Struthio camelus: one gene and its partners. The protein of the gene in region 1 interacts with the protein of each later gene in a pairwise test. Links are inferred from orthologs where the notes say so. Each region holds a gene or a part of one and is shown in the gene's direction. Other genes may lie near its edges.

What was found.
Region 2: the proteins of VIM (region 1) and CRMP1 interact in binary tests that used the Homo sapiens proteins (3 or more experiments, as listed by UniProt). The link is inferred for Struthio camelus from reciprocal best matches to the Homo sapiens genes VIM and CRMP1.
Region 3: the proteins of VIM (region 1) and KIAA0408 interact in binary tests that used the Homo sapiens proteins (3 or more experiments, as listed by UniProt). The link is inferred for Struthio camelus from reciprocal best matches to the Homo sapiens genes VIM and KIAA0408.
Region 4: the proteins of VIM (region 1) and ESS2 interact in a two-hybrid assay, tested with the Homo sapiens proteins (2 studies listed by BioGRID and IntAct). The link is inferred for Struthio camelus from reciprocal best matches to the Homo sapiens genes VIM and ESS2.

What each region holds. Positions count from the first base shown.
Region 1 is NC_090943.1:23,968,588-23,975,521, reverse strand, and holds the start of VIM (vimentin), read left to right. Parts: upstream 1-3,923; 5' UTR 3,924-4,058; coding exon 4,059-4,600; intron 4,601-4,848; coding exon 4,849-4,909; intron 4,910-6,934. UniProt on the Homo sapiens protein: Vimentins are class-III intermediate filaments found in various non-epithelial cells, especially mesenchymal cells. Vimentin is attached to the nucleus, endoplasmic reticulum, and mitochondria, either laterally or terminally.
Region 2 is NC_090945.1:73,512,361-73,520,036, reverse strand, and holds the start of CRMP1 (dihydropyrimidinase-related protein 1), read left to right. Parts: upstream 1-4,660; 5' UTR 4,661-5,477; coding exon 5,478-5,849; intron 5,850-6,452; exon of another isoform or gene 6,453-6,467; coding exon of another isoform or gene 6,468-6,485; intron 6,486-7,083; exon of another isoform or gene 7,084-7,098; coding exon of another isoform or gene 7,099-7,149; intron 7,150-7,676.
Region 3 is NC_090944.1:69,373,782-69,381,600, reverse strand, and holds the start of KIAA0408 (uncharacterized protein KIAA0408 homolog), read left to right. Parts: upstream 1-4,810; coding exon 4,811-4,945; intron 4,946-6,608; coding exon 6,609-6,950; intron 6,951-7,302; coding exon 7,303-7,382; intron 7,383-7,819.
Region 4 is NC_090958.1:9,799,934-9,807,217, reverse strand, and holds the start of ESS2 (splicing factor ESS-2 homolog), read left to right. Parts: upstream 1-4,273; 5' UTR 4,274-4,339; coding exon 4,340-4,489; intron 4,490-4,625; coding exon 4,626-4,794; intron 4,795-5,912; coding exon 5,913-6,008; intron 6,009-6,591; coding exon 6,592-6,758; intron 6,759-7,284. Other genes in the region: GSC2 (homeobox protein goosecoid-2), read left to right, coding at 1,028-1,331, 2,160-2,407, 2,997-3,101. UniProt on the Homo sapiens protein: May be involved in pre-mRNA splicing.

The sequences.
Region 1 (6,934 bases):
TGCAGACTGGTCCATTTTGCTTGGAGTTTACTCAGTATTCATGGGGCCATGGGAAATGTGAAGAAATGTCTCCATAGCGCAATGCATTCCAGTCCATCCTCTGAAAAGGATTTAAGGTTGCTTTATCGTACTGACAACAAAAGTGATTGCATTTGCATAGCAGGATATTTTTCCTGGATGCTTAATATTTATGGCTCATTTTATACATCGTGGAAAAAATGAGCATTTCATGTTTTAAAGTAGAAGCTTTATTAAAGGGCACAAATCTGATTAATGAAAGTATTCAAATCTTTTTGTTTAGCAGAAGTCTGTAGTAATGGAAAAGCACATTCAGTGTCTGGGCTAACTTACTCTAGTTTCCTACTGCTTAAATAAAATGGCAAATCAAAAAATATGAATGCCATTATTTTTGGAAATGTGTTCAGACCTACACATAGTTGTTCAAGAAAGTCAGAAAAATTTTGGGTTGCATGAGACTTTCCCAATTTTAGTAGAACAGATACCAAAGCAGTTTAGGCATCTGTACCTTCTCCCTGTTCACACCCGTTATTCACTGTTAATGAGAGTTACACAGCAATCCAATATTTTTTGTGACACTTATTCAGCCTTATTCCTTATTTCAGTCTTGGCTGTGAATCAATGCATCAATTCCCTGGTGAAAAGGCAGAAAATACCAAAATAAATTAGCTGTGGGAACTGAAAGGCTCATATTAAAAATCTCTGTTTCTTTTCTTAAGTGTGCCAGTGGCTTAGCTCTGATCTGCCTCTACAGAAATGCAGGTGAGAGCAGTACAGCAAGCTGAAGGAGCAGCCTGTCGGAGTACTGGAATTACAAATGAAGGCATAACAAGAAACAGTGCAGATGATCCCTTACTAATGGACTAGTTCATGAATAATCCTCAGTGTGGTGTTCAGTGATGTGCTATTAGCTGTGTATCCTTTGCATAAGTAGTAGTCAGCCTCCTGACCAGCCATGCTCTTTGAAAATCCCATAGCACTTTCCTTAAAATTAGGCAGAGTACTGTGGTTTCAGTTCAAACAACTACACTCTGCAAGATTTCTATGGTTACACTTAGATACATTATTTCCTGACCAGTTCTGTAGATATCTTTTTGCACTTCAAGAAGACAGCAGTTCTAGTTCCCCTTTGGGGTTTGGGATGCAAATGTGGGTTACGTTTATTACAGCCTTACAGGAAATGTAGAGCTTACTCTACTTAGGTATCTATGTAAGTGCCGACCAGCAAAAGGCACTTACAGGTTTATTGTAATCCTGGCAATTGACAGTATCATAACACTTCTAGGAAAATTTGATAGTGAGAAACAGCAATGAGGCAGGTGGCCAAGAGTACATATGGCAGAAGTGACATAACATATGGAAATTACACTTGAAACATGGAGGAAAGGGGTAAATGTATTTGCTAAAACAAACACCTCCCTGAGTTTTAGGGGCAAAGCAGTTTCTGAGTGAAGGATGACTGCTGCATGTATGCGCCATAAAGAGATTTTGTGGAGTACAAATAAACTATCTTCTGTTAGGAAGAACAGAGGGTTGAATGGGAATAGTGCACCTTTAAAAAAACAACCATCTCTTAAAACTCCCAGCACTTCTGAGTAAAGCATCTTTAATCTATGAGGCTGTTTGGTATGTGCTGCTTTACTTTTTTGCCTGCTCATACAAGGAGTGTGTACTTTTGTGCCAGGATTCACAAAGGCTTATAGCTCAGACTTGATGGCTTAAATAAAGAGCTCTCAGAGGGCTGGAGAGCCCGGCAGAGGCCGGGCTGGGATGGCGGTACAGTCAGCCCCAGGAATGCTGTGTGACCTCTGCCTCCTATTCAAGGACTGAATGAAATGAGCTGTAGACCAGGACTCATGCTGCAAGCACTTCAGTAGCTCAACCTTGTCAGCTTCGTTTGCTTGACTAAGCTTCAGTGAACAATAGCAAATTAAAACCTCACAGACCTACGTTTAGCTACAAACTACGTTCCTGTAACTTCTGGTCGCCATTCAGAATCAAACTAAAGCACAATCTCCAATACCAAAAAAATTTTAAAAAAATCCTCAAAAAATCCTTTGTGCTCCGATTCCTCCTCATGAGGTACAATATCTGACGAATGCAGGCTGACTTGACTGTGAGTTGGGATGCGAAAATTACCTTCCTCTGTGCCCTGTGTTCATGTTCAGGTTTATCAGAACTTCCAGTAAGTATATTTGCTTCTGCAGGACCTCAAGTTAAAAACAATTAAAAATTAATGGTAGTTTTGCATCCCATAGATGCTGAAGTACTACATTATGGATCTCTCTACATTCATACAGAAATCAATCTTAAGGAGTTTTTTTACTGCCAAATTTCATGCAATATTGCTATTGCCCTGTACTTCCTATATCATTCTTCTCTGTTACTGGTAGCCCCATTTTGATAGTAAAATTGCTCTTGAATCCCTGGGATTTTTATCTGAAGCCACAGACAGAGGATACTTCCAGATCGTGACTAACAAATACTTGTCATTTCACTGGGTGCTTTCCTAAGATTCTGATCTTGTGCCTACTGAAATCAATGCCAGCGTCTGTTGGGTACAACACTCGCAGACCCAAACCTTGGTTAAATTCAAGCCTGCCTCTCTCCTAGTTATGAGAAGGGTTGCATCCAAGAGCAGGAGCAAGATCTTCATTGCAGCTATTCCAAAAACGTATGCTAAACAATTACTTATGGCCTGGGACCAATGTTAAAATAATGACAGAATTCAGTGTGCCTCTTCACTAAGCCATGTAAACGCTCACCCAGATAAAGGGAAAAGGCGTATAGCCTGGGAACGTGTGTTGAACAGAGGCGTTGAACTAACACCGGGGCAGAAGCTGAGATTGCTGTGACAGGAGGCAGCTAATGACAAAAGGAGACACAGGCAATTTATTTCCCTGCCTGTTTATTTTGGACATTTGGCAGCCCTTTGTGAATAGTTAATAACACTTTGCCCTGATTGCATTGTTTCAGAAAGCTAAGAAAGAAAAGAAAAAAAGAAGTTCTCCAGCAGATAGATTATACTGTTTTGTTTTTTTTTGTTTAATAATCCTCCTGTGCTGTGCTATTTGAAGTATTTTGGCTGTGGCTTAACCTTAAAACTGGCAACCTTCCTTGCAAGTCACGGCGCTCAGTCAGCGCAGGAGCGCACCAAACTCAAGGGTTAGCTCAACGCGCCTTGCCGCCCCGCCAGCGATGTTGCTTCGCGCGCCGACCCCCGCGGGCGCGCAGCGCGGGGCCGGCGCCGCCGCCGCCTCTTCCTTCGCAGGGCGGCGGAGCGCGGGCCGTGCCGGCGGCGCGGCCGCTGAGGCGGGGGAGCCCCGGCGGCTGCGCGGCGGGGCGGCCCCGGCGCCGGGTCCCCGCTACGCCCCGGACCCCCCGCCTCAGCGGCCGCCCCCGCCCGCTGCCTCAACGGCCGCTCCCCCCGCCTCAACGGCCGCCCCCGCCCGCTGCCTCCGCCTCAACGGCCGCTCCCGCCCCCCGCCCGCTCCCGCCTCAGCGGCCGCCGCCCCACAGCCGCCGCCCGCGGGGACGGCCGCGGTCCCACCGGGACTCGAGGCGGGGGGAGGTTTGCCGGCCCTGGGGACTCAGTCGGCAGCGGGGGAGAGATGCCGCGGGCTGCCTGCGGGGAGGGGGAGAGCGGCCGGCCGTTACTTTTTCCCCTCGCCGGCGTCCCTCAGCCCCCTGCCGCCGCCGCATCCCGCCCGGCCCCTTCCCGCGGGGCCCTGAGTCACGCCTCGCGCCAGCCTTTGTGTCCTGGCCGGGCCGGGCTGGCTGCAAACCCCCGCGCCCCCCGCCCCGGCCCCGCCCGCTCCCCCTCCCTCTCCCCTCCCCCTCCCCCTCCCCGCGGGGCGAGGCGGTGGCGGGCGGCGCGGCCATTGGTGGCGGGCGGCGGGCGGGGCGGGCCCGGCAGGGGGCGCGGCGCCCCATAAGTAGGGCCTGGGGCGGCGCCCCCCGCTCTTCTTCGCTCGCCTCTCGCCGCCGCGCAGCTGAGCCGCCCTCCTCCGCTCCCGGATTACAAAGCCCGCGCCGCCGCCATGAGCATCACCACCAAGAACTCCTCGTACCGCCGGATGTTCGGCGGGGGCAGCCGCCCCAGCACCGGCACCCGCTACATCACCTCCAGCACCCGCTACTCGCTGGGCAGCGCCCTGCGCCCCAGCAGCGCTCGCTACGTGTCCGCCTCGCCCGGCGGCATGTACGCCACCAAGGCGACGTCGGTGCGGCTGCGGAGCAGCATGCCGCCCATGCGGCTCCACGACGCCGTGGACTTCTCGCTGGCGGACGCCATCAACACGGAGTTCAAGGCGAACCGCACCAACGAGAAGGTGGAGCTGCAGGAGCTCAACGACCGCTTTGCCAACTACATCGACAAGGTGCGCTTCCTGGAGCAGCAGAACAAGATCCTGCTGGCCGAGCTGGAGCAGCTCAAGGGCAAGGGCACGTCCCGCCTGGGCGACCTCTACGAGGAGGAGATGCGGGAGCTGCGCCGGCAGGTCGACCAGCTCACCAACGACAAGGCCCGGGTGGAGGTGGAGCGGGACAACCTCGCCGACGACATCATGCGGCTGAGGGAGAAGTGAGTGTGTAGGGCGGGGGGAGGAGGAGGAGGAGGGGGGCGGCGGCGGCCGCCCCTCGGGCCGAGGGGAGCGGGTCGGGCGCGGCCCGGCCTCGCGCCGCCGTCCCGGCTGCCCCCGGGCGGGCCGGGGCGGTGCCGCAGCCCCCGCGCCGCGCGGGCGGTGCGGAGTGGAGCGGCCGGGGGCGGGGGGCTCTCGGGCGGGTGGGGGCCGCGCTGCGCCCTCCTCACCGGCTTCTCTCCGCTCGCAGGTTGCAGGAGGAGATGCTGCAGCGGGAGGAGGCCGAGAACACCCTGCAGACCTTCCGACAGGTTGGTCACCGCCCCGACCGGCCGGCCCGTGGGGGCGGCGGGGGAGGGGGCCGCCTAGCGGCAGCGGCGGGCCCGTCCCGGCCGCGGCCGCCTTGCCGCCGCCGGTGACTTGCAATACTCGCGCTCCCCCGGGGCACCCAACAAACAAGGCAGCCGCCTGTATTTTAAGCGCGCTCGAAATAAGCAGCTGCCGTTCCCGAACCGCTGTATGGGAGAGAAAGTCCTGAGGTAGCGGCTGGGATGGGAGAGTGGGACTTGGAGTTGTGCTTCCCTTGCACAAAGGAATTCCATCGGTTCTCATGCACAATCTCCTTGTTTTCTTTAGGTTGATGCCACAGTCCAAGGGGGAGGGTAAAAACTATTGTCTTGCTTTATCCAAGTCTAGCCTATTTTACAAAAGGGCTCCGATGTGGAATCACTTTCTGATCCAATAAAAGTGAAAGGGGAGCCATCTGTTCGCTTGGCTGAAGGGTATTAATGGTTTCTATGGGATTCACCGTGGAATGCAGATACAGGCATTATGGCAAGTGTGGTGGCAGCAGATTGAAATAATAGAACTCTTTGTGTCCGAGGGGAGGGTGCAGTGGGCTGCATTCTTACTAAATGCGTAATGATGTAAGCATATTTCTAGAGAAAAGTGTCTGTCATGTATATGGTCTAGGCCTTATACAAAACAGAATTCCTTTTTTTATGAATCACTTCATAGCGCTACTAGAAAAGTTTTAAAGTTAAACTCTTTTGTATTGGTGTTGATGTCTGCTGATAAGTAGACCATTTGTCCCTTGGTGAGGTCACAGCAGTCAAGTTTTTCTCTTCTTATCGGTTTAAGAATGTAGAATTTAATCCTATGCAAACAAAGTTGTTAACACAGGAAAGCAGTTTAGTCTCGGTAGGAAGCTACCATGTTATCCAGATCAGCTAAAAGCTACATGATAAGTAGAACTAACTCTTCCAACAGTGTTGAAAAAGCTCTAAGCTCAGGTTTTCATTTGTGCAAAAATAGCTTTCAGTTTGGCTTAAGCCTTGTTTGGACTAGGAGATATTTAGGAATGCGCCTTCTCAAAACAAGATCTCATCCCTAAACCTGCTGGTGTGAAACAGCATTGCTAGAATTCTTCCCAGCTGAAAGTGACCGCCTCTATCTACAGACAGCTGGGCTCAGATCTGACTTGGTCACAAAGCTGTTCATATACATTAGTAGATGTCGCCATTCGAGAAGTCATCACTTGATTGTCAATATTTTCTTGGGCAAGGTTTTCAACTGCAGTATGCTTATATTCTCTAAAGGAGAACAGATGTCTTAATGAGATAACATGTAGAAATTAAGACAGCAACTGTCATTTAAAGTCTGGGAATTTAAAGTCTCTGTTAGTATTCTGGGAACAGAAGTTTGAAAAAGAAGAATTCAAGGTATGAATTAAATTCAAGCCTTAATTTAAGCTTCTGATTTTTTTGAATGCTAAGCCAATTTAAACGTGTGCAAAGGTCATATGTTTCTGCACTGAACTTTACTTTAGAGAATCTAATCTAGTCAGATTCTTTGCTGAATTCAGCTGGAGGATCCTTTGACTTAAGGTGGCTGGCTTAAAAGATCTTGCATGCTCAATTGTTCCACTTCAAGGCATGGCTATCTCCATCTCAAACTGATTCTACTTTTTTGTAGACTTAGACTCAAGGCCTTAATGAACTTGGTTTTATACGTATTCTACAACATTTATTATCCAGTTAATGCTTATGCTTTAAGGGGGGGGGTGGTCATTCAGAACCTCAGCCACCAGCAGATCTGTATGTGCAGTACAGCTAGGCCAGCTATATCCGTTTCACCTCTAAGGTACAGAATATGTAAAAATTGCAAATATTTGTGGATATATTACACTAAATCTGTGTATGTCTGAACTAGTGTATTATAGTGTGTTTAATTTGAACAATAGTAATATCTAACTTATCATAAGAGGGTAGGCTAAACATGCAGATTTTAAAAACTACATCTATTTAAATAGAAGTACTGTCTTTGGTAAGTGAGGT
Region 2 (7,676 bases), on another chromosome or scaffold:
TTTTAAAGAACATGTAAATAATTAAAAGAAAATCATTCCATGCCTCACAATATGCAAGACAAGACTCAGCATGGAACAGATTTTTGTAACTTGTTTATAAATTAAGCTTCTCTCTTTTGTTTGGAACTTTGAAAAAGTAATCATGTAAATAAGACTTACTACACACATTTGTTTGACTGGAAAAAAGATATTTCCTCACCTCCTTTGGTATTAATGAAAAATCTGGGATGTATAATATGTGCAGGTCTTGGCTTTTGAGCTCTAGTGCTGCGCAGCTATTTAGTTCTTTCGAACAGCCAACAGTGTGATGCTAGCCAGAAGTCACGAAGAGCAGTTGTTAGGGTCATAAAGTGGGATCCATCTGAAGAAGTGCCAAAGAGCGCACAAAATGCTTGGGGTTTATGGTTTGATACTTATTAATTAGATGAACCAGCTGGGTTTTGTTTTGTTTTGTTTTGTTTTTGTAAATAAGTGCAAAAAGTTTCAACTCTTACCCATGACTGCCCTGCAACTGGGTGTCAAGGTAGAGAAGATAACTGATAATGTTTCAGTAATATGAAAGATGCCACTCTTGAGCTAGTCCATTAAAACCTTATGGTTAACTTTTCAGCAACGACTTTCACTTTAAGATACTTGTCACAGATATCAAATGTACATATGTATTAATTTTCAGTGTAACTAGGGAGCATACAGAACTGTAATGCAGTCACAAAGTCTACTTGATGATTATCACAGATTTGTAACTCTCACTTAAATTATGTAAGATAAGTTGACATTCTATCTTGTTAACAAGATGTATTTTTCTATGTTAGTTAAATGTATAATTTGTATAATTTTGTATATTAAATGTATGCATATTTTAAATTAAAAACTTTATAATTTTAATTATTTTTAACTCTAAAATAGTGGTGGAGATTGTGAAATATAGTTGTAAATGCAACTCATATTAAGTGGGGAATCGTGAAAGGTGGCACGTTTGTACATTTGGGAACAAATGCAGAGCATCAGGTGCATTTTCCTTTGTGTGTTGTGATGTAAAGTGAAACACAGGGCTGAAGTATCGCAGGAAATGTCACAGAATTTTGCAAAACATGAGCTGGTTTTACATGACTGGATCTAATTTTAGTTCAAAATACATTGGTATAATGTCAAGGGGCAAGATTCAGGTTAGTTATTGTGGATCATTAATTTGAGAGTTATGCTCTTTGAAACCTAGAAATCTGGTACTAGCAAGACTGTATGGGACACCAACCTTAGATACCTACATTTCCTTACGTGGTCGAGTCAAGAGAAACTGTATGCCTGGACACCGACCCAGAAAGTCTCTGTTCTGAGGAAGGGGCCACCAAGCGCTAGCTAATTGGTCTGCTACTAGTGAGGGTAAGGCAATGGTTGTGTCTGAGCTCTTGCTTCTCTTGGTGGGGGTGCTGTCATTGAGCTTTTGCTGAATTATCATAATTAATACAAATTATCAGAAAAGCTTGGGGAGATCACTTGTTCAAGAAGTGGGAAACCTGAGTCTTCCTCAGCCAATGGGGTTTTGGACCCACGGTTCCTACATGTCAGGACACAGCCCAAACCACCAAACTATAAGATGGGATTTTGCGGGGGGGGGAGGAGGAGGAGGAGGACACAGCAGCCAGGAATACAATAGTCCTTTAGAGCAGAGAGAGGGAGTCTGACCCTGTGAGTTTGCAACTCAGGTTGCTCATCTGGGAGAAAGAAAACTTGGATCCCAGTCGCTGTCTTATTCTGACTCCCTCTGGACTTTCACACTTTCTGTCTGATGATTCTGTTGTAAAATGTGCGATACAACTTAGCAAAAATAGGTGCAAAATTGCATGTACTAGGAGCACTGTGGCAGGATTTGCCCCTGCACCGGGGAAGTTTTGTTCTAGCTCATGGCATTTGCACTGCTGCAAGGAGAGTGCTGGATATAACCAGCAAGCTGGTAAATGATGATTTTTTCGAAAGACTTTTGTTGAAAGTTTTTGTGGAATGAAGCAAGCATGTCTCCAGGTTTTCCACTGTCTCTCATCTAGCCTGCTCTGAATATGATTTATTTATCATTGATCCCATATAGGTGTAAAGACTAAAGATTCTATAGGAAGAGGGGACACTTTTGACCAAGTTCTGTTCCTTTTTCACCAAGTTATGCCAAGACAGGATGAGAAGCAGGGTCTGCAGCAGACTATACCGAGACAGTATATTTCTCCAGAGTCCCACATGCATTTTTTAGATAAACTTGCAGGGTTGCAGGAAGACAGTGTATGAGGCTGTAGCTATGTCTGCCTCTGTGGCAGCTAAAGCTACAATTTCATCTCTTAGTCAGCAGAACAGTATGCATCTGTCCAGTTAGAACACAGTTCTTAATAAACTAAGGGTTATAATATGAAGAATTTCCGTTTAAGAGGAAAGGAAGATTCTCATAGAATTTTATGCTGTTATTTCTCACTTGAAAGTTTAATGCTGTTTTCTAAAGCAATGATTAGACGTGTTCTGAGTCTTGTGGTCTCTTTATGTATTATCACTAAGAAGAATACGCTAGCTAATGCTGAATTTTTTTTTCTTTGTTACTTCAAAAAAGTGAGCAGTTCTAGAAAACTGAGCAGTGCTATATAATCAGATCCAGAGTGTAAATAGAGTCCATCTTTCTTGGCTTTATAGATGTTAAAGAAAAGATGCTATTCAGCTCTGAATTCTTTATCAGACACACGCACCATGTAGTATGGCACCTATTATGGGATCATCAGAAATATTTTTTTCTGGAGGTTCTAATTCATCGCTTGATTAGAGAGAGAAACCCAGTAAAATGAATAATTTCCCCAATACTTAAGAAGACATAAATGAAATTACATGTACTATAAATGAAATTACATGTACTGCCTGCATATCTCACTATCAGGGTTTGTTATCCTGTGGAGGAACAAACTGATCTTTTTTTTTCCAATATGATCAATAAATCTCAGTGTTATCATTAAGGAAAAGGAAACAATATTTGCCTATATACAAGAAGTATTTAGGAAAGTGATGTCCTAGGAACTATACTTATTTTTTCACATACCAATACAATTTTCATATGATTATAACATGTTAACACATTCTGTGTTAGCATTGTTACCATATGTTAATACAGTAGCAAGGTTTATTAAGTAAGCTGTGAAAATGTATATATGTTCAGAAATGTCAGTCATGATGCTGAGACTATTAAAATCTGAGTATTAATAATCAATGATCAGTGAACTTCTGACTAATTCTCTAACTCCCCTCGTGTAAATGACATACCAGTGTTCAAGGACATCAAGACAGGAAATACCACTGCATTACAAAAAGCTCAGGAGAGAAAGATATTGTCCTCTGATGTGTTACAGCAAAGTTCAGGGATGTTATATCACTGCTTATGGCATGGTTTTACTGCATGGGTAATTGTAAATGAGAAAGATGCTTATCTGGACATCCTTCCCATGAAATCCTGACAACCTGTTTCTTTAACCTCCCGCTTCTCCTAATCCATTTATAACTTGCCATTTTTCTCATGCTAGGACCACCAGGCACACCTGTGGGCTGCAGATAATAGTGCTGTGTGGCTGGGCTTGTGTTCAAACGACATGAGAGTGTTACACATGAGCAGTAAACAGTTCTTGTGATTGATCCAAGGCTTCAGATACGCTTAGCCACTTAATCAATTGCAGAACAGTTTGTTTCAATGTATTATTTCAGAGCAACAGAGAATGTTCCCTATGTAACTGCTGGTGTGTTCAGGGCCTGTCAAAATTGTCTAAGATGGCGGGGGGGGGGAGGGGGGAATAGGAGGGGTGAGAAAGGGGAGAGGGATGTCCAAGATTTTGTGGCTTCAGGGGATGACCGCCTTAGGCACCTAGCATTATAAGACAAGCAGAGATGTAAAGATAGACCTTCTGAAGTGGGCTGTGCGAAGAGTTGAGAGTAAAACCTTCTCCATTCCTCCTGCCTTTATTTTGGGAATCGGCGTTTCTGAAGTCAGAAAGTCCTCTGAGTCAAATTTCGCCGGTTAGCTCCGGTTTACTGAAACGAGCCCCGGCGAGAGGCAGCGTGAGCTCCCGGCCGGGGCTGCGCGTACCCGGGAGCGACCCTCTCCGCCGCTCCGGCGCGGGGCAGCGCGGCCGCCGCAGCGCCGCCCGCCCGGCGCCTCGGGGGTGCTGAACGGACAGCTCCGCGGGGGGCGCCGCGCTCCCGCCGCCGCCGCGGGCTCCGCGGGGGCTCCGCGGGGGCGCGCCGGGCTCCGCGGGCTGGGGGCAGTGCGGGCCGCGGAGCCGACGCGCGGTGGCGGTGGCGGTGGCGGTGGCGGCGGCAGGGTTGGCCGCGCAGGCAGCGGCCGGCGTTACCACTTCCGTGTCAGGGCTGGCCGCCTCCGCGGTGCCTGCTGCCTCCGCGGCGCGCTGCAGTCTCGCAGCCGCCCCCGGGCGCCCTCGCAGCGCCGCCGCGGCGGGAGGGGGGGGCAAGCACAGCGGTTGGTGGCAGCCGGGCGCAGCGGGGTCGGTCCCCCCCCCCCCCCAGCCCCCGGGCACCAGCTGCCGCGGCTCGGCACGCACGGCAGGGAGAGGGCAGCGCCAGCTCCCCCTGCCCCGGGGCCTGGGTCTGGCTGTGCTTCCTCGCCCCGCCCCGCTCTGCGCCCATCGCCGAGGCTCCCGCGGCGGCCGCTGACGGCCTGGGGCGGCCCCCGGGGCCCCTGCGTCCTCCCACCTCCCTCCCCGCGGGCTGTGCCCCCCCGCCGCCGGCGGCACCGCCGCAGCCTGCTCCTGCGGAGGGAGCGGGGGGGTAGCGTGAGTGTGCGAAGTGGGAGCAACTCCATTCGGCTCGCTCGGGGGGAGATTTGGGTGTCTTTCTTCTTCTTTTTTTTTTTCTTTTTTTTCCTTTTTTAAAAATTCCTCCGAAGCCACGTAGCAGCAGGTGACGGGCGGTCTGTCCGGAGGGCCCGCCAAGAAGGACCCTGCGCGCCGGCTGCGTGTGCAGGCGAGGGGCTCCCCCCTCCCCTCCCTCCCGCCCCCCGGCTCATTCTTTATACCGGGGGAGCGTGTGCACTGCGGTCCTTGCTCTGGGAATTGCTGCTGCTCTTCCCATTCGTCAAGGGCTTTCCAATCACCTGCTACTGCCACCCTCTCCTCTCCTCTCTTTGTACTTTATTTTCACGTGCTCTTTACTAACACGGCTATTTTTAAATTCCGCTTGGATTTATTTCTTTTTCTTTCTTTCTTCCTTTCTTTCTTTTATTTTTTTTTTCTTGCAGGGGCTGGATGGGGGGAGGGAGGTTAACGTTTGCATCTCCCTAAGGGAAAGATCCCACCAGCCAACCCAGCTCCGCCACTGCTGCATCCATCCATTCATTTTTATGGTCTCAAGCAGCCTATCCCAGTAGTGGAAGGTGCAGAGAAGCGGGAGGCAGAAAGAGAGAGAGAGAGAGAGAGAGTGGGAGGGCGGGAGAGATCTGGACAGCGAGAATGGCCGAGAGAAAGAGGAACTGGAATAAAGAAGATGACCTGCCCGTGTATCTAGCTAGGCCGGGTACGACAGCCCAGACGCCGCGGCAGAAATACGGGGGGATGTTCGCCTCTGTGGAGGGGGCCTACGAGAACAAAACCATCGACTTCGACGCCTACAGCGTGGGGAAGAAGGGGTCCCGGACCCCGCGGAGCGGCAGCCGGCACGACATGCTGGACGGAGGGGACAATTACAGCGAGACCGCCAGCGACATCAGCGAGGTCTCCGGCTCCGTGATCAGCTCCCCGGGCGACCGGGAGGACAAGACCCCGGGCGTGGAGATCCGCTACCCCATGGGGAAGGAGCTGCTGCAGGGCCACGACAACGGGCAGGTACGAGGGGCTGAGGGCGCGCCGGGGGCCGGGGCTCCGCACGTCGGGCAAGCCCCGCTGCAGAGCCCCGCTGCGGCTTGTCGGGGTGGGGGGGGGGTCACCGTGCCGCGGCGGCCGGGGCCGGCTCCGCGGGTGACTTTCGGCACGGCAGGCCGAGTAGGCACGGCCTCCCCCCCACCCCGCCCCTTTCCTGGCACGATGATGCTGTAGGAAGAGCCCGTCCGGCCCACGCCAGACCCGTCAACTCTCTCACTTGCCTGAGCTTGCGGGGGGGGAGGGGAAGGAAGAACCCTAGAAATTGTTTCCCTTTGTAAGTGATGGCGATGAGTTTCCTGCGTTTTCCTTCCCGCCGGCGGAGAGCTGCACATGCCGGGTGGGCGGGGGCGGGGGCGGCCCGGGCCCCCTCCGGTGCCGCCGCCCGGGACGGCGCCGGCGGCCGAACAAAGCGCAGCGCGCCCGGCCCGGCCCGGCCCCGCCTCGGACACGGGCTCCCCCCGGCCCCGGCGGACCCCTCACTCCAGGCTCCCCTCCTGCAGCCCCGTGCGCTTTCATTGTCTCCCCGGGATCTTCCGAAACCTTTGCCCAAGAGTTTCCCACCTCCTCGGCTGCAGCCTGGGAATGTGCTGGAGACTTAAGGTAAAGCGTGCTGCTCCGTCTTGCCCCTACCAGCCTCGCTTCTCCGTCTTACCCCAGATAAGGCATGCAAGCCGGAGGCACACCAAGGGGGGCTGGCTCTCCGGGGAATGGAGGCTGTGAATGATTTCCCCTTATAAATAAACGCAGCCTTGCAGTGATGTTCCTGCTCAATACAGCCACTTTGCATCGCATAGATATATCCTTTCCTTTAGCGCCCAGCCTGGAGGCTCTGTGGCCTCTCTGTGCTCTGCCCTTTTGACAAGTTAAACTGAAGAGTTTTCACTTTTTTCTCCTATTCTTCCATTAGCGCGTGAATCGGGTGCTGGCCCGGTCCGCCCGGGAGTGGGGCAGGGTGCGGGGTGCAGCTGGGGAGTGCCTGCTGCACTGTGCGCCCTGGGGAGAGCCAGCAGCGCCCGGTCGGGCAAGGCACCTGCACCGCCTCCGCTTGATTGCGACGACCTCGGGGTCACCTATAGCGGCTGCCAACTGCAGTGCAGTCATCTCTTTCCTGGCTCGCCGTAACCCTGGCATCCTTCCCATTACCCGCCCCCCCCAGGCGGTGGGGGGCCAGGGCACATCCTGAATGTCCCCTCCTTGCGCTGGGTCACCCTGGATGCCCTCCTCCCTGCTCGGGCGCTGCTACCTGGTTCAGCCTGGGACCCAGGTGAGTGGGCAGGCATTACACGCTACCTCTGCAGGTCTCACCGTGTTTCCAAAGTTGTCTGGCTCTGGATTAGATTGGGGTAGGGGTGAAGTGGGGGTCCGGAGGAGCCAGGGTGTAAAGGAGGTGATACGTGATAAGTGGCCATACTGTCAGCTGCAGCCACATGCTTGCCGCCTGCACACTGGTCGTCAGGGCTTTCTTGCAAACCCTCAACGGCCATTTCAGGGGAGAAGTGTCAGGAATGTGGCCTGGGTGGGAAATACCTTGTATATGTGTGTGTTGGTGGGTCTGTGTGTGTGCAATGTGCACCTGGCTCCTTTCTGTTGGGAAGGGCTGTAACTTGGGGGCAGGTGCGTGGCGCCTTTTATTCTTCCTGCGGTTGCGCGTGGCGCCTTAGTCCGGCACAGGGCGAGGGGCAAGGCCTTCTGTGAGTCAGAAAGATGGAAAGGTTTCAATTAGCAGCACGTTTCTTCTTCTGTGGCTGCTAGCATAACATCCATGTGGCCTGGCTGTGCTGGGCTGCGCCA
Region 3 (7,819 bases), on another chromosome or scaffold:
CAGAGCTGGGGGTTGGAAGAGATGGCTTTAAAACCATCCTCCATGCACTGACGTCACATAGAGGCCAGCTGCTAGGATGATGCTAAACGGAACTGTTTTTCAGTTTGCAAAAGTTGTGGAGTTATTCAAAGAGATTTGCAAATGCTGCCCTGTTTGAAAGGTTGTATCTTGTTTAGCTTTCTTTTTCCTTTTAAAGATCAAGATTTGCAGAACTGGATCTCAGCTAGCTATGCATTTCATTGCTTTCACTGCTGTTTAGAAATGGACTGAAAAACTTCTAAAGGATTTCTTACTCTATGAAAGGTATGATTTTGTTTCATTTTAAATTAGTATTTTTGAACAGTTTTAAACTGTTAAGATTTAAAAAACAATGAAAATTACTAATGTGGCAAACAGTTACTTAAACATCTCTCTAATGTTCCTATTTATATGTTATGCAGCATTTAGGTATGTTATGCTTGTTCTTTATTTGTACAGAACTGAACTTGATCAGTTCAGTTAGTTTCTCCAGAGCAGGGACAGATATATTAACCAAATACAGATGATAGGTACCATTTTGAACACTTCAGTCCTTATATTTTTCTTTTTCTCTTCTTCTTTCCTCTTCTCTCTCTTCCTTTCTTTTTCTTTTCCTTCCTTCCTTCTTTCCCTCTTTTTCCTCTTTTCCTTTCTTTCTCTCTTTTCCTCCACCCCCTCCTTCCTTCTTTCCTTCTTTTTTCTTTTTCTTTTTCTTTTTCTTTTTCTTTTTCTTTTTCTTTTTCTTTTTCTTTTTCTTTTTCTTTTTCTTTTTCTTTTTCTTCCTTTTTCTTTTTCTTTTTCTTCCTTTTCCTTTCTCTTTCTCTTTTCCTTTCTCTTTTCCTTTCCCTTTCTTTTTTCCTTTTCCTTTTTTTCCCTTTCCCTTTCTTTTTTCCTTTTCCTTTTTCTTTCCCTTTCCCTTTCTGTTTCCGTTTCCCTTTCCCTTTTTCTCTCTTCTTCCTCTTTTTCTTTCTCTTTTCTTTCTTTCTATCTTTTCTTTCTTTCTTTCTTTTTTCTTTCTTTCTTTTTCTGCCTCTCTCTCTCTTCCTCTCTTTTTTTCTTCCTCTCTCTTTCAAATGTCATTTCTTTTTAGATATAAAGTGCACAATAATGTAACACCTGTCACTCTTTTTTAACTGGGTAAATAAATAAATAATTTTACAATTTCCTTAGTCATCCAAAATGCAGCACCTTGTTAGAAATACAGTTTAATAGCTTTTTTCTAAAATCGGGGGAAGACTTGTATATCCGAATGGTTGTGCACACGCAATCTAATTAATCTGTGTTGAAAAAAAAATCTTCTCTACTGGTAACACTACAGTTTATTTTCAGAATTTCCATACTCCAGTTAGAGAGGTTGATTTCAAACTATTTTGTATTTTTAATATGTAGATAGAAAGGACATAGGTAAGACATAGGGCAATAGTAACATTAACATCAAATACTAGCTTAAAACATTTTTTTGCTTGAGAGGAGGGAGGGCTAGAGGAAGAGTAAAGGGAAAATGCATCTGATGTAGACAAAATTGATTATTTACTTGAAGTTGGTTGCTGTAATGAGTTTCTGACCTTGTCTAGGACATGCAGAAAAAGCCAATACTGGAAGTACACAGATAGTGTTCTGTTCCACACAGAAAATTAAAATCATGCCTGCCTTTTGTTTACATAAAAGGGAAATAGACTTTTAAATAAAAAAGAAGTGGCATTTTGTGTCTTATTGGGTTGTATAAGCCATGTGAGAGGCCCATGAGGACATCCCAGTACTGACTACAGACAGAGGGTATATTACCAGGGCTACAGATTAGATTTTTATTCCTGGTTCCCAAGTAGGAAAAAAATCAGACAGACCCCCCTCCCCCCCATACAAAAAAGGAAAAGAGACACAAAGAGATAGGATTTAACATTCTCCCAGGAATTTATCCAGCGTAGAAAAGAAGCAGAAGTGTATAGTCATCCAGCTGCTAGCATCAGTAAACATGAGTTTCCTTCTCAGTATTTGTGTCAAAAGGAAATCAGAGAAGCGAAAGAGGCAGTACAAGTTTGCTGTGGAGCTTGGAGCTACACATAACTATCAGTATGTAACCTTTTCCAAGACCTTATTGCATTTTGATGGTATCCAATCTATTTCTATAATTAGAGTCCCATATGAAACAGCTTGTAAATTGTTAAGGTGGATGCAAACATGGCAATAATGGTTCCCAGCACTAAGAAACCGTGAGCAGTCTTTTAATGCTGTATGCATGCTGGAAAGGATTACAGATTATATATTTGTTCTGATATGTATATATAAGATTATAATGTATAGTCTTGAGTTTCTCTCCAGTAATACGTATTTATTGCTGCTGATTGAGTCATGCTCATTACTACTAATGGTGTACTGGGTGACTCATGATTTGTACAACTTGTAAGCAGATTTTGCCTGTATCTCTAGTTCATGACTTGACAGTGTTTCCACAGTTTATCTGTTTCTTTCTGACACACATTTGAAAGAATCTGGAGAAGCAGAGTCAATAGAGAAATTATTTTGATATATCTCTCTGAGATGTCTTGAAAAAGTTATAAAGGCATAAATGTAGCAAAAAAAAAAAAAAAAAGCAAATGACTGCACCAAAAGTTACAACCTTTGAAATAGCAAAGTGAGAAAGCATTGAAATGGTTGTAAAGTTCTTTAGCAATAGATGTTTAAATTGCAATAGATTATTAATGCAGCAGGATTTTAGTAAGTTGTTTTTGATCAACACTTAACCAAAATCTTTGGCACAAAGCTGAAACTTTGGTCTGGAGAGGTAAAGTCTCTATAGCCTGGCTGCCTTCCCAAGGAAGCCATGAGCAAACCAGAGTTTGACTTCTCTTATGTTGAGAATGCTGTATTGTCTTTCAGCAGCTCTCTTAGTTTCAGGGAATTTTATGTTTTTGTAAAGCTGCTCTATATGCTTCTAGGCAACTGGAAAAAGAAAAGGTTTGAAATATCTCTGTAAATAGTTCAGGGACAGATTGCCATTTCAGAGTTCTAAGTCAGCTGTGAAGAAAAGTTTGAAGGAGCTAAACTCCAATGCCATGTTACGTGGTGACGTGGTGACCCCACTGTGAAATTGTGAAACAACCTGGCAGAGATATTCAGAACATAATCAGCCCGTTCTCTAAGACCTCAGTCCAAAACTCTTTGGGGTGAACAGTTTTGCTACCACTGAATTTGAATTGGGCCCTTGGTAGCTGTCAGTTGAAACATCCTGTAGCAGGACTTCATATGATGCAAAGACCCAAGCAACCTGTTGGACTTCAGCTGAGCTCTCTGCTTATTTGTTAATGAAAGAAGCCGATTCCAAGTTTGGCATCAGCTCACCAGTCAGCTGAAATAATGCAGACACTGGTAAGCATAGGAGCCACAGCTGAATAAACATGACTTGCCTAATAAAATAGGGGATGAGGAAGAACTTTGCAGGAAGCTCAAGAATGAGTATTCACTATAGCAAAGAAAATATAGAAGATAAAATGAGCAGTTCCTGTGAGCTGGCAAGCACTGACTGTCGGTCAGGGAAGTGAACAAACTCCAGAAGGGTGAACAGGGCTTACCCCTAGTTAACTCTATGATAGTTTGTTTGTCTGCACATACGCTTACTTTCTGGTGGGAGATCAAAGCAGTTCAGATGCATTTTGTGACTAGAACTAGATTCCTTGTCCACCTAAGTAACACAACAGCTTGCTTTGGGAGACAGAGTTAGCAAACTCGAGTATCAGTGTGTATGTACAAGCCGCTACAGAAGCCTACACCACAGAAGCCATTGTAACTGAATGAACGGGTTTTTTGGCCTTGTTAACATAGTAAAAGTGCTGATAATAGTGGAATTTCCATTTTCAAAGCTGAGAAAGCAAGAGGATGACCAGCCCATCAAATCTATAACTGTTTTGCCCCAACGTCAAAAGAACAGATTTCCAGCTATGTTTGAGTTAGTGCAATCAGTGGATAGGTTCTAGTTCTCCCTAAGTTGGTCCTGGAACTAATGTTTCTAGATTTAGATCTGTATATCCAAATTACACTAACACTTTGTAGTGCTCTATGGTTCTTTATATATTAGAATGATGCTTTCTACTGAATGCGTGTTTGTAACATGTAAGTAGCTTTTCTTTCCTGTTTTCCTTCATGTATTCTAAAGCATTCATATAACCATGAGAATTTGCTTCATGTATGAAGCTTATAGTCTTCAATTGCTAGAAGAATGCCATAATCTTTGTCATGCTACATGCGTGCGTGAAAAGATTGCATGAGCAAACACTACAGCTTTACATTTATGGTTGTCTTTTGAACAAAGACAAACGTAGCTTTCACCCTCAGGGGCAGACCTTGCAGGATCGCAAGGTGCTAAAGTGCCATTCGGTGTCATGCAGACTCAAATTTCATTGAAAGCAGGTTTAGTGAAGAGTGATGGCAGATATGTGAAGTGGCCACAGTACGCAGCCTATTGTGGCAGACATTCCTGGATTATATGATGCTGGATGTGCATCGCTCCTTGCCTTTTCAGATTGGGCTTATGTACTCCTAGGTTTGCTTCCCATGATGCTTAGTTCTTCCATATTACAGTCATACTGCAGATATAGATCATGCAATCCTGTGATACTGTCTCTTGCAAAAACATGTGAGTTAATTATTTTGGGGGTAGGGGGGAGGTTGTTGATAGTTTTTTCCTGAAAGCTAAAATCAAATATGAGTAAGACTTATTTTGATAAACTTCCAGGAAACATTCAGGGAAGAAGGAAAAACGCAGAGCTATCTTCTTGCTGTTGCACAAACTGTAGCCATGGACCTACATAAACAACTGGAGAATACTGAAAAGAATTGGAATAAAGAGAAGATGGAATTGCTGGAGAGATTTGACAATGAAAGGAAAGAATGGGAATGTCAATGGAAGGTCATGCAGAAGAAAATAGAAGAGGTACCTTTAGACAAAACTCTGAACACTGACATTTCACTTCAGTCTTGTCAGTGACTAGAATCACTTCTATAGAGTGACTATAGAGACTTCTATGAATTTTTCTGTGAATTATTTCCTATTCCCTATCTGTCACTGGGAGTTTCTAATAGCTGATGGTAGGATACAGAGCCTGGGGTTAAGAAGTATTTGCAACTGCTCATTTAATCATGAATAAGGAGTAGGAGCTTAAATATTACTTTGTGTCAAATTTGCTATAATGTTGGCTGCATATACTGCTGCCAGTTCTTCTGAGCATAAGCCACAGTGCTCATTTATACATGCTTTTTACAAGTAAGGACATGCTGAACAGACCTGGGGTTTAGGAAAACGCATATTTAGTAGCAAAATTTCAATCTAGGTATCATAACATAATTCTCTGGTAAAAAGTAGTTGCTTGGAACAAGTCTGCTGGCATAAAGAGTAATATTAAAAAGAATGTCATACATCAAACACTGTATGATGCAGAATTATTCTGGCAAGATCTACTCCATTTATGGATGACATTTAGCCGAGAAAATGGCTACAGTAAGTATCGTGAAAGCCCTGACACAGCTTGCGTTCACACATAGTAACAAACACTCACTGTCTGCCATTTTTAATGCATCTCTTTCTAGAAATAGTTTAGGCAATTATTCATTATTCTTTTATCCCCAAATTATCACTTCAGCAGAACCCTCTGGCACTCTGTAATGCACAAATTGAATCTTCCTTGGCAATGTATATGGGCAAGTTTCTCATTAGTGAGCCTTCCACATTTTTCATTCTAATATACGCATGAAGTAGTTTTGCTTGCTCACTGCCAACATCATCCTGTGGCTGAGCAGCACAGGAATGTATGGCAGAGATTGCTCACGTGAAAATATGAGAAGGAAAATGATCAGCGCCAAATGAATTGCAGCCATACACTGCCCTCAGCCTGCAGCATAACTCCATAATGTCAGCTTTCTTATATATTGCCAGCAGTTCTTTTGGACTTTGGTATGATAGTCATGGCCACATTCTGCCTTTTTGTGTTATGTCATTTCTGTGCTGTCTTACTTAATTTTACCACCAAGGTGAGAATGCTTCAAAAGTTAGTGATGTGATCTGTGTATGCAGTTGAATATCATTTTGTTTGGTTTATAAGTCGTTCTGGAATGAAGGTAGTGTGTTGTGATAAGGTATTCTGATGTGATAGCATTATTAGAAGTCCTCATAACAACAGCAAAGACCATGTGTGTTCCATATGTTTTCATTAGCCTGTGGGTTAGGAAAGCATGACAGGGTGAAAAAGTGATAAAAAGTAGGAGTGGAGGGCAAGAGAATGAATGAAGCAAATACCTGGGTGGTACAGGACCAGACAAAACTACAGAAGATGTTCTGAGGCTATTGATATCTAAGGTTACTTTTTAAGCTGTTTTTTAAGCTGCCCTTGATTTCAGTTTCCTGCAATTTCTTTCCAAAAGGCACATGGCTGAAGAAGAGAAGAGATATCTTATAAATACCGTCATCTGCATATATCAACTCTTTCTACCCACACCCAATGTTACTGAGTGAAGCATCGTTCAAAAAAGATAAATATGTTCTTTCATCATAAAGGTCATCGGAGTATCATGATTTAACAGAGCATTTTACTCTTTTTCAGCTTTACCAGGAGGTAAAACTTAGACGGGAGAACAATATGAACGTATACGATAATAAGGACATTCATAGCAAGATGCTGCAGCTGTCCATGTGTTCCCCTGCTTCGGAAGAGAGTGACGCAGCCGAACTGAATTATCAATACAAGGTAGCAAATGACAGGATGGAAAAAGAGAATTTGCTCAGTAAAACAGGACAAGACTGTAAAGAAACCAGAGCCAAGAGGAAAAGCAATGATCCGTTAAGGGACAATCTGGCCTTTGAGAACCATGAGGAACCTGAAGATAGCGTCAGCATCAAAGCTCCCAAGAAAAATGCCAAGAATTACATTGGTGATCTCAATGTAGTAAGTAAAGTATTAGCATGTTTCAGTTAGAAGGGTGAGGAAAACAGTGAGGCCTTTGGCCTGCCAGACCTAAAGAACTGATCTCCCTGATTTTAGCTTCCCAGCAAGGGACTGCTACTCCCTCCTCTACTTCTTTCTCACTTTGCTATTGATGAGTTTCTTATCACTGATTAAATGTGTTAACAGCATGTTCTTTACCTCAGTTCATAACTTGGGGGCATTTTCCTCACTTTCATTGTGCTACTTTGCTCTGCTCTGATTCTTATATGTAAATCACCACAAGTTTCAAAATAATTCTGGAGGTACCATTTAAGAACGCTTATGTTAAATAAATATTTTTATATTTATAAAGGCTCTTAAAGAACTTGCCAGAGTTAGTGAAGAATTATGCAGCTATCAAGAGGAAATTCGAAAGAAGTCCAACCACAGAAGGTAAAAACATTGTTTGACCTCTTTATGTTAGAGAAAGAAAATGAATGAGACTTACTGTGCTTCTATTCATTTTGAAGGGGGAGGGTGCTGTTGAAATATTAGGATCTGGGTAGGTTCCATCCTCTGAGTGTTTCAGTGCTCAGAGTAAAACGTTCAAATGACATATGCTGAAATGTAACTCAAGGCCATGTTTTACTTGAAAAATAAAGTTTATCTATAGAAACTACAAAATGACATTAGAATTTATATGAGATTAAATTGTACCTCTTTCCAATGGCTACACAGGGGGATTAGGAGAGTGAAAAGATTTTTCTGGCTGTCCCTATCTCATTTCCATGCAATTTTATACAACATTACATGGGTATGTTAGGATGGGATGCTTCTTTGTGTTAAGACCAGATCCAGCCCTAAATGTCAGGGACTGAGAGTGCAAGAGC
Region 4 (7,284 bases), on another chromosome or scaffold:
GCTGTCTATGTTTGCGCAGAGGCAATGCTCATCCTTGCCCCTTCCAAACTCTGCTGTAACTCTGAGCAGAGCTACAACTGATCTGCTGCCCTTGTGGGTGGCTGTACCGCAGGTGACTATATGCCACTAATCTGTGCCACAGAGGGGCTGTGAGCTGCCACTAATCTAATTTATTAAGGGCTTTGAATCCTTACAAAGTGTATGTTAGATACATGCAAAGCATCTGCATTGTTACTGTGATTAAAGCAATGAAGGTGGGGGAAAGGGGAAGGAGGGAAAATACGATTTCTGTGCTCTGAGCAGAAAATACATCAACTTTCACAGAGAGTTCTCGTGCAGCCAAAGGCTAGGCTATCACTAAAAATGATTTTTCATTAAGCTGAACTCTCTTTCTCTGTTATATTGTATGATATGACAGGTCTCTTTTGATGGGAAAGCTTTCATTTGGACAGAGAAAGGGATAATTTGCTTCTTTTAAGGAGTTAATCCTCCGGTCCATTTCCGGGCTGGGAACAGCTATCCTCCCCCTTCCTTGGATTGGAGGCTCCAGCACAATGGAGATCATAACCACCTCAAATCTACACCCGAGATGGAGAAATCAGATTTCCTTCTCGAGTCATTTCTGTGGGATTAGCTAAATCTTAGATCCACACTAACCCTTCACAAAGCTGCCAAGATTAGTTAGAATTTATTTTATTCACAGAAGGGTTTACGATTTTCTTTCCAAAGGGATTATATCTCTCTCTATATATATATTTAGGATGGCTTCAGTCATAAAGCAGCTAGGTTAGACGGAAAGTGCATGTGTGGGTGTGTATAAAATAAAAACCTGGGTGCAAGAACGACAGTCACTTCAAGCTCCAAGGCAAAACGGTGATTCTGGATGGCTTCGCTGGTCTGCTTTAAAAGTTATGTGAGTGTAAGCAGCCTTTTTCCTTGTAAGACCCCACTCCACAGTTAGTTCACAAGAGCCAGCGCCGTTCAGCGTTGAGCTGCCCGCTCCCACGGCCGCTGCGCCTGGCACAGGATGTCTTCGGAGCCGGCGTCGGGCGTCGACTTCAGTAGGAGAGGCCTGAAGAAGCAGTGTTCATTCAGCATCGAGAACATCCTCTCCAGCCCAGCAGAAAAAAGCCCTCAGGTCCTGGTCCCACTGTGCCTCCAGGGGCTCTTGGACTGTGCACCCAAGGGGCTGTGTGAACTGGAGGCCGTCGCAGCCAGCTCCCTGCCGGACGAGGAGGAGGAGGAGGAAGAGCTGGAACGTGCAGGTTGCAACTGCTGCTGCTGTTCTCACACGAGCGCCCATTCCCTGCAGGACTCACCGAGTTGGCTGGGTGAGTGTTTGGGCTGGATTCACTGCATATGGCAGTGGAAGGGGCATTACAGCTGGTGCTAACACTGGGTAGAAGGGAAAACCTGGGTATATAGTAAATACAGTGTCTGGCCTACCACATTGCCACGGTGGTTTTCTTAGACCTCAGCTCCGGCAAGGGGTGGCTGGACCTGTTCTCAGCACTGCTTCTAAGAACAGGCAGTCCTGCAGTGCTACTGGGTTTTAAAAACTGCAGGTGCTATTTGTTACTAGGCACTGATGTTTTATTGTAGAACACTTACAGAGGGTGATGCTTCTAGGGGTGGGAGTTCTCTGTGGAGCATGGGCCCCACGGTCATGCTGCCAATGGCCAGAGCTGTGCCTGCTCTTCTTGACAATGCTGGCTGTGGGGAACGTCACTTGTCATTTAAGGGAAGGATTTTTTTGGCTGCATCTAGCAAAAAAAATGTAGCAAAGCCTTAAAAATGTGGTTCAAGAGCATCCTGAAGGCTCAAAAATCCCCCATTTCATTACTGAAAGACATTTCTTCTCTTCCTACCTGGTCTGTGGGTTTCCAGTGATTTTCTGGAGCTGGGCATATTGCGACTGCTAAGTAAATGAGGAAAATGCAGCCAGCACTTCCTTCCTGCACGCTTCTCCCGAAGTGATGCCGTGAGCCTTTCTCTTGCTTGCATCATGATCATGCAGCTTTTCACCCACTCCAGCTGGCCAGCTGCACCTCCTTCGAAGCCACACGTGTGGATCCAGCTTGCACCTCAACTGCCTTGAGCAGGATCTTTATTTCAGTCCTTTGTCCCCAACGGTGTTGACTGTAACTCTTCCTTTGCAGACGCCAGGTTCCCCTGGCCCATGCGGCTGTTTCACTCTGCGGTCAGGGCCTGTAAGAGTCCCCAGGGGAGCCCGAGCGAGCTGCAGACCTTCCACCAGATCCAGAGACGGACACGCCGGCATCGCACCATATTCACTGAGGACCAGCTGCAGGCCCTGGAAACGCTTTTCCATCAGAATCAGTACCCAGACGTCATCACCAGAGAGCACTTAGCGAACCGCATTCACTTGAAGGAGGAGAGGGTGGAGGTGAGATCCTGCCATTTGGTGAGGTGCCAGGATGAGTATTTTGCCATTCTGTTTGCTGAAAGCACCCCCAGGAGAACAGAGTCCTGGGCATTGTTCTGTCTGTTTCAGGGCTGCAGACCCAGGGCCTCATTTTAAAAACCACTTTTAGGTATTTGAGAAAACACAGATGGGTATTTGGCATGTAATGGAAGAGTATAAAACAGTTCTGCTGGCTTGGGTTATTTTGGTGGCCTGGCCCCATGAACTTTCTCATAGATATACCTATATAAATACACACACACACACACACACACACACACACGCGCGCGCACGCACGCACGCACGCACCTAATTCTGCTGATACAACTCTACACCCAAGGGTATATTCTTTTTTTCTGTGGCCTGCATGACTTTTGTATTTGCCATGGGGGTCCCAGCTGGATAGATCTTGTATCAAGTGTACTTTGCAGGAGATTTTACATTGGGAAATGCATAGGTGTATCCTAAAGCTTAGTGCCACCCTGTAAAGTCCAGGAGGGTAACTGCCTCACCTCTTCCAAGTAGCAAATGAAATGCAGAAATTCTTCCTTTCTTGTTCTTTGCTTTTCAGGTTTGGTTTAAAAATCGACGAGCCAAGTGGCGGCATCAGAAGAGGGCATCTGCTTCAGCTCTCATCCTTCAAGGCACCAAGAAATCCCCTGAGGAGAACTGTTAGTGGTGTTAGGCTGCATCTCAGCGGGTGAACACCAAGAGCATCGCTTTCCCTTAGCCATCAGATTCTGCAGTGGGGTAGCTTGAGGGGAAGTAATGAAGCAAAAGGGAATCGTCACGATTCTAAGAGGGGGAGGGCAGGTAAAAGCAGACAGTGTACTTTCAAGCCTTAGTTCTTCCAAACGTAGTTCATGCGGCAAATAAATCCTGAGGCATGAGCCTCAGATGCTTAAGCAGAAGCAGCTGCCAAAAGCCAGTGCAGGGGCAGAGCTGCATCAGTGTTAAATGTGTGTGCTTCAAGAGAACGGGGGATTTCCCCCAGCTTCTTTGCTCTGTGCAGGTAGCATTTGTGCTTGTTTTGCTACTATAGATTTACAAAATATTCAGCAAATGTATGTTCACGATTTGCAGCACCACGTGGCATGGAGAGCTGCCACTGGGGTCGATGTGGAAGCTCACTGACCGGGTGATTTGCTCCTTGAGCAAACAAACACGGATTTCTCCCTTACGGCCTGAGGGGAGAACAAGTAACTCTTGCCGAGAGCAGGAGTTCGGCTCGCCTCCTCGGCTCGTCCGTGCCGCAGCTCGGACTGGTAGTGCAGCTCCTCGTTAGCGTATTTGTGTGTGTGTGTCCCTGGCCGGCCCAAGAGAAAACACGTCCTGTAAAAGAGCGAGGTGAATAAAGCTATCCCCGACGCACGTCTACGCGCTGTGCAACACGGAGCGCGGCGAGGCCCGGCCGCCCTTACCAGCCCTGTCCCTTCCCGCCGCGACAGGACCCACCGCCCCCAGCCAGCCCCGGCTCGCGTCGCAGGGGACCCGCCGAAGCACAACCGCCCCCCCCCCCGCCGCCCCCGGGCACCCCAGCTCGCCGGCGGCCCCGAGCCCCGGCAGGCCCGAGCCCGAGCCCTTCTGGGGAAGGAAGACCCCTCCCCGCCGGGCCCCGCCGCCCCCGGGGCCAGGCCGCGCCGTTGCCATGGGAACCGGCCGGGCCGCGGAGGAGGGCGCGGGGCGGGCTTGGCCTGCCCTGGCGGCAGGGGGCGCGCGCGCCGCTGCGACGCTCTAGCCGCGCGCAGCGCTCTATGACCCCCCCCCTCCCCTCCTTCCCGCTCGCCCGGGTGGGGCGGGGCGGTTTGTGCGGGGCTTCCCGGCTGCCGTTCGCGCAGCGGTGTTGCGTCACGGCGCGTTGCGTCGGCGACGGCGGCTGAGGAGGGACACGGCGTTGGTGGCCCGCTCGGCGTTATGGAGGCGGCGGCGGCGGTTCCGGCGGCCTCGTCCCGCGCCCTGGTGCCCGCCGGGCCCGAGGGCGCCGTCGTGGCGGCGGGGCGGGAGGCAGCGCAGCCGGCCCCGAGGCGCCCGAAGAAGATCCTGGACGAGGAGGCCTACATCGAGGTGAGCCTCGGCGGCCCCGAGCCGGCCACCCGCGGCCCCCGTGGCCCGGCCCGGCCCGGGCTGACCGCGCTGCGCAGCTGGGCGCGACCCCCCCGGCCGAGGAGTCCTGCGCTTACAGTCGTCTGTCTGTTTGCAGAGCTTAGAGAAAATCATTCAGCGGGACTTCTTCCCTGATGTGGAGAAGTTACGAGCGCAGAAGGAATATCTGGAGGCCGAAGAAAACGGTGACTTGGAGAAAATGAGACAAATCGCTATCAAGTTTGGTTCCTCCTTGGGCAAATCGTCAAGGGACACCCCCGCACCCTGTAAGAACTGGCTCGCTGGGGCTGTTTTCACGTTCAAGCTACGAGTATAGAGGCTTGCTACAAAAAAGTTTGTGTTTTGTCACTTTTATGCCAAGGGCTATGCAAGAAGGAGAAAAAGTTATCTTAACAGATTAGGACCTCAGCTTTTTATTCATTAGGTTTTCTTTTTTAAGACATAACAGCTTATAGCTAATGTTATAGTTCCCTTTTATCTAACTTTGTGCAAGCAGTGATTATCTTAAAGAATCAAGATTGACGTTGTGGGGGGTTTAATATACTAGATTGGGCAGTAGCCAGTATCTGATCACCAAGTAATTTAGTACCTACTGCTGAACTTGACTTTGATGGTGTCTAATAATTCCTTGAGGGAATTGTTCTTTGGAAAAACAGCTATAGAATAACTATTCCCCATAGGCATATTGTTCCAAGTCTTGTTCTTGAGAGGCTGTTACTTGCTCTAACTTGCAGTATTATACTGTCAAAAATTCTAGACTGTTTTTGAATCATTATTACAATGTTAGGTATTTTTGCTGTATATGTAGAGGTATAACACTGTAATATATTGGGGACAGAGGGTGTTGAAAGTTCATTATTATCAGAGCTTCACATAGCAAGTATCAAGTGTGCAGTTGTATACTTGCTTTAAGATGTTCAGATATTTCTGAAGCTAGAGCCCAGTGCCTAGGTAAGTTCTTGCTATGGAGTATAGCTCGCTCTCATGGCAAAGGACATGTGTCACCAAGCGGCTTCCTTTCCTTCCCCTATCGTAGGTGCTGGCACTGACCTGGGTTAAGGTTGTTACCACATTAACATTGCTGCCTGCTTTTTTTGGGTGAAGCTGTAGACAGTATGGCAAATATGTAGGACTGCAGCTGTTCTGTATTGTTTTCAGTAGAAGAAAAATAATGTCTTAGATGGAAATGAAATCTTGTTAGTTTTGGAATTGAATTGCATAGACTGTTTTGAAGTCTTTTCGCACCTTTTTAATTCAATAGTTCTTCTCTTGATATGTCTTCTATGACTTATTTGGCACATGATCCTTACTATGCTGCAAAATGTCACAGGCAATGTCCTGCTCTGTGCTCCAGTAACCACGGGAATCTTTTTCTTTGTCACAGATGTTACTCCAGCCACATTTGAAACCCCTGAAGTGCATCCAGGTGGTCTTCCGCTCGTGAATAAACCCAAGGTTGGCATCAAAGCTGCAGAGGAAGGTAAGGGAATGTTGTTCCTCGTTGAACTCTTCAGCAGCAGGAAAGTACTGTTGTGAGCTCTGTCTCCTGTAATGGTTTTATAAGGAGTCTCCTTTAACCTTATGGTAGTGAAAATAATCACTCTGAAGTTGGACGTAATACTTTACAGCTGTATGAATTCCCAGTTGTGAATCTCTAACTGAATTGAGAATTTACATAGTCATAACATTTCTTTGAAGACAGTAAATTCTTCCTGCTGTATGAAATTAATTTTGTCAGTAAGCAACAAACCAGGAACAAAGCTATCCATATAGTGGTACTGAAAATGTCTGCTAGCATCTGGTCACTCTTGTGTTTTTCCTTTAACATGAATAGCTATAAATGCCATAAAAGGTTTTATGTGAAAATTAGTTATACATCTTCTAAAAAGAATTTATTATTGTACTATTATGTGTGTACACTTTTTTCCTCTCACAAGCTTTGTAATTAATTATTAGTGGGTCAGTAGAAAGCTAGCTCTGAAGGGATTAAGAGTTATGTATAGCTCCTTTCTAGAAAGGGAAGTGTTAATCACTTTCTCAGGCTTCTTCCCTCCTCTTGTTAGGAGAAGGAGAAAAAGATGATAAAGATGTACTTCCCAGTTTGGACAGCTTCTTAGCAAAACACACGAGTGAAGATAATGCTTCATTTGAGCAGATCATGGAAGTGGCTAAAGAGAAGGAGAAAGTCAAGCATGCTTGGTTGTACAGTGCAGAAGAGGAGTATGCCCAGGTAGGGAAATGGCTCCAGTGTATCTATGTTCTTCTGAAATGATACAAAAGGGAAAATGCCATCTGTTTTTTCCATCTGTAACTCAAGGACAATATTGACTTAGTCACTGAGGAACTGAGGATCTGTCTCTGCCTAGACCTTTGAAGCTGTGAAGCACAGCACTAAGCACAAGTATTAGTGTTCTGGACAATCTCTTCCGTAAACACCAATACAATGGAGAGCAGCTGAAGAACAGTTCCAGTTTTTTGTCCATCAGCCTTTTATTATTTGCGGTTAGATGTTTTCTCTCATTTCAGCTTTCTGTTTCTATTACCAGTAATAATCTGTTCAGCTGGTGATACAAAATATTTTACACAGTATGGCTAGCTATGCTGAAGAATTGTCTTCGGCTAGCTTAGCAGGAGACACAGGAGATGTTTTGGGGCTGACATGACTTTCTTGATCAGCAGTGGTAAGCAGCTGGCACTGTTGCCGGATGTCAGTGACAGATGTAAGCTGCAGTGCTTTTTAATGAAGTTTGGCACTG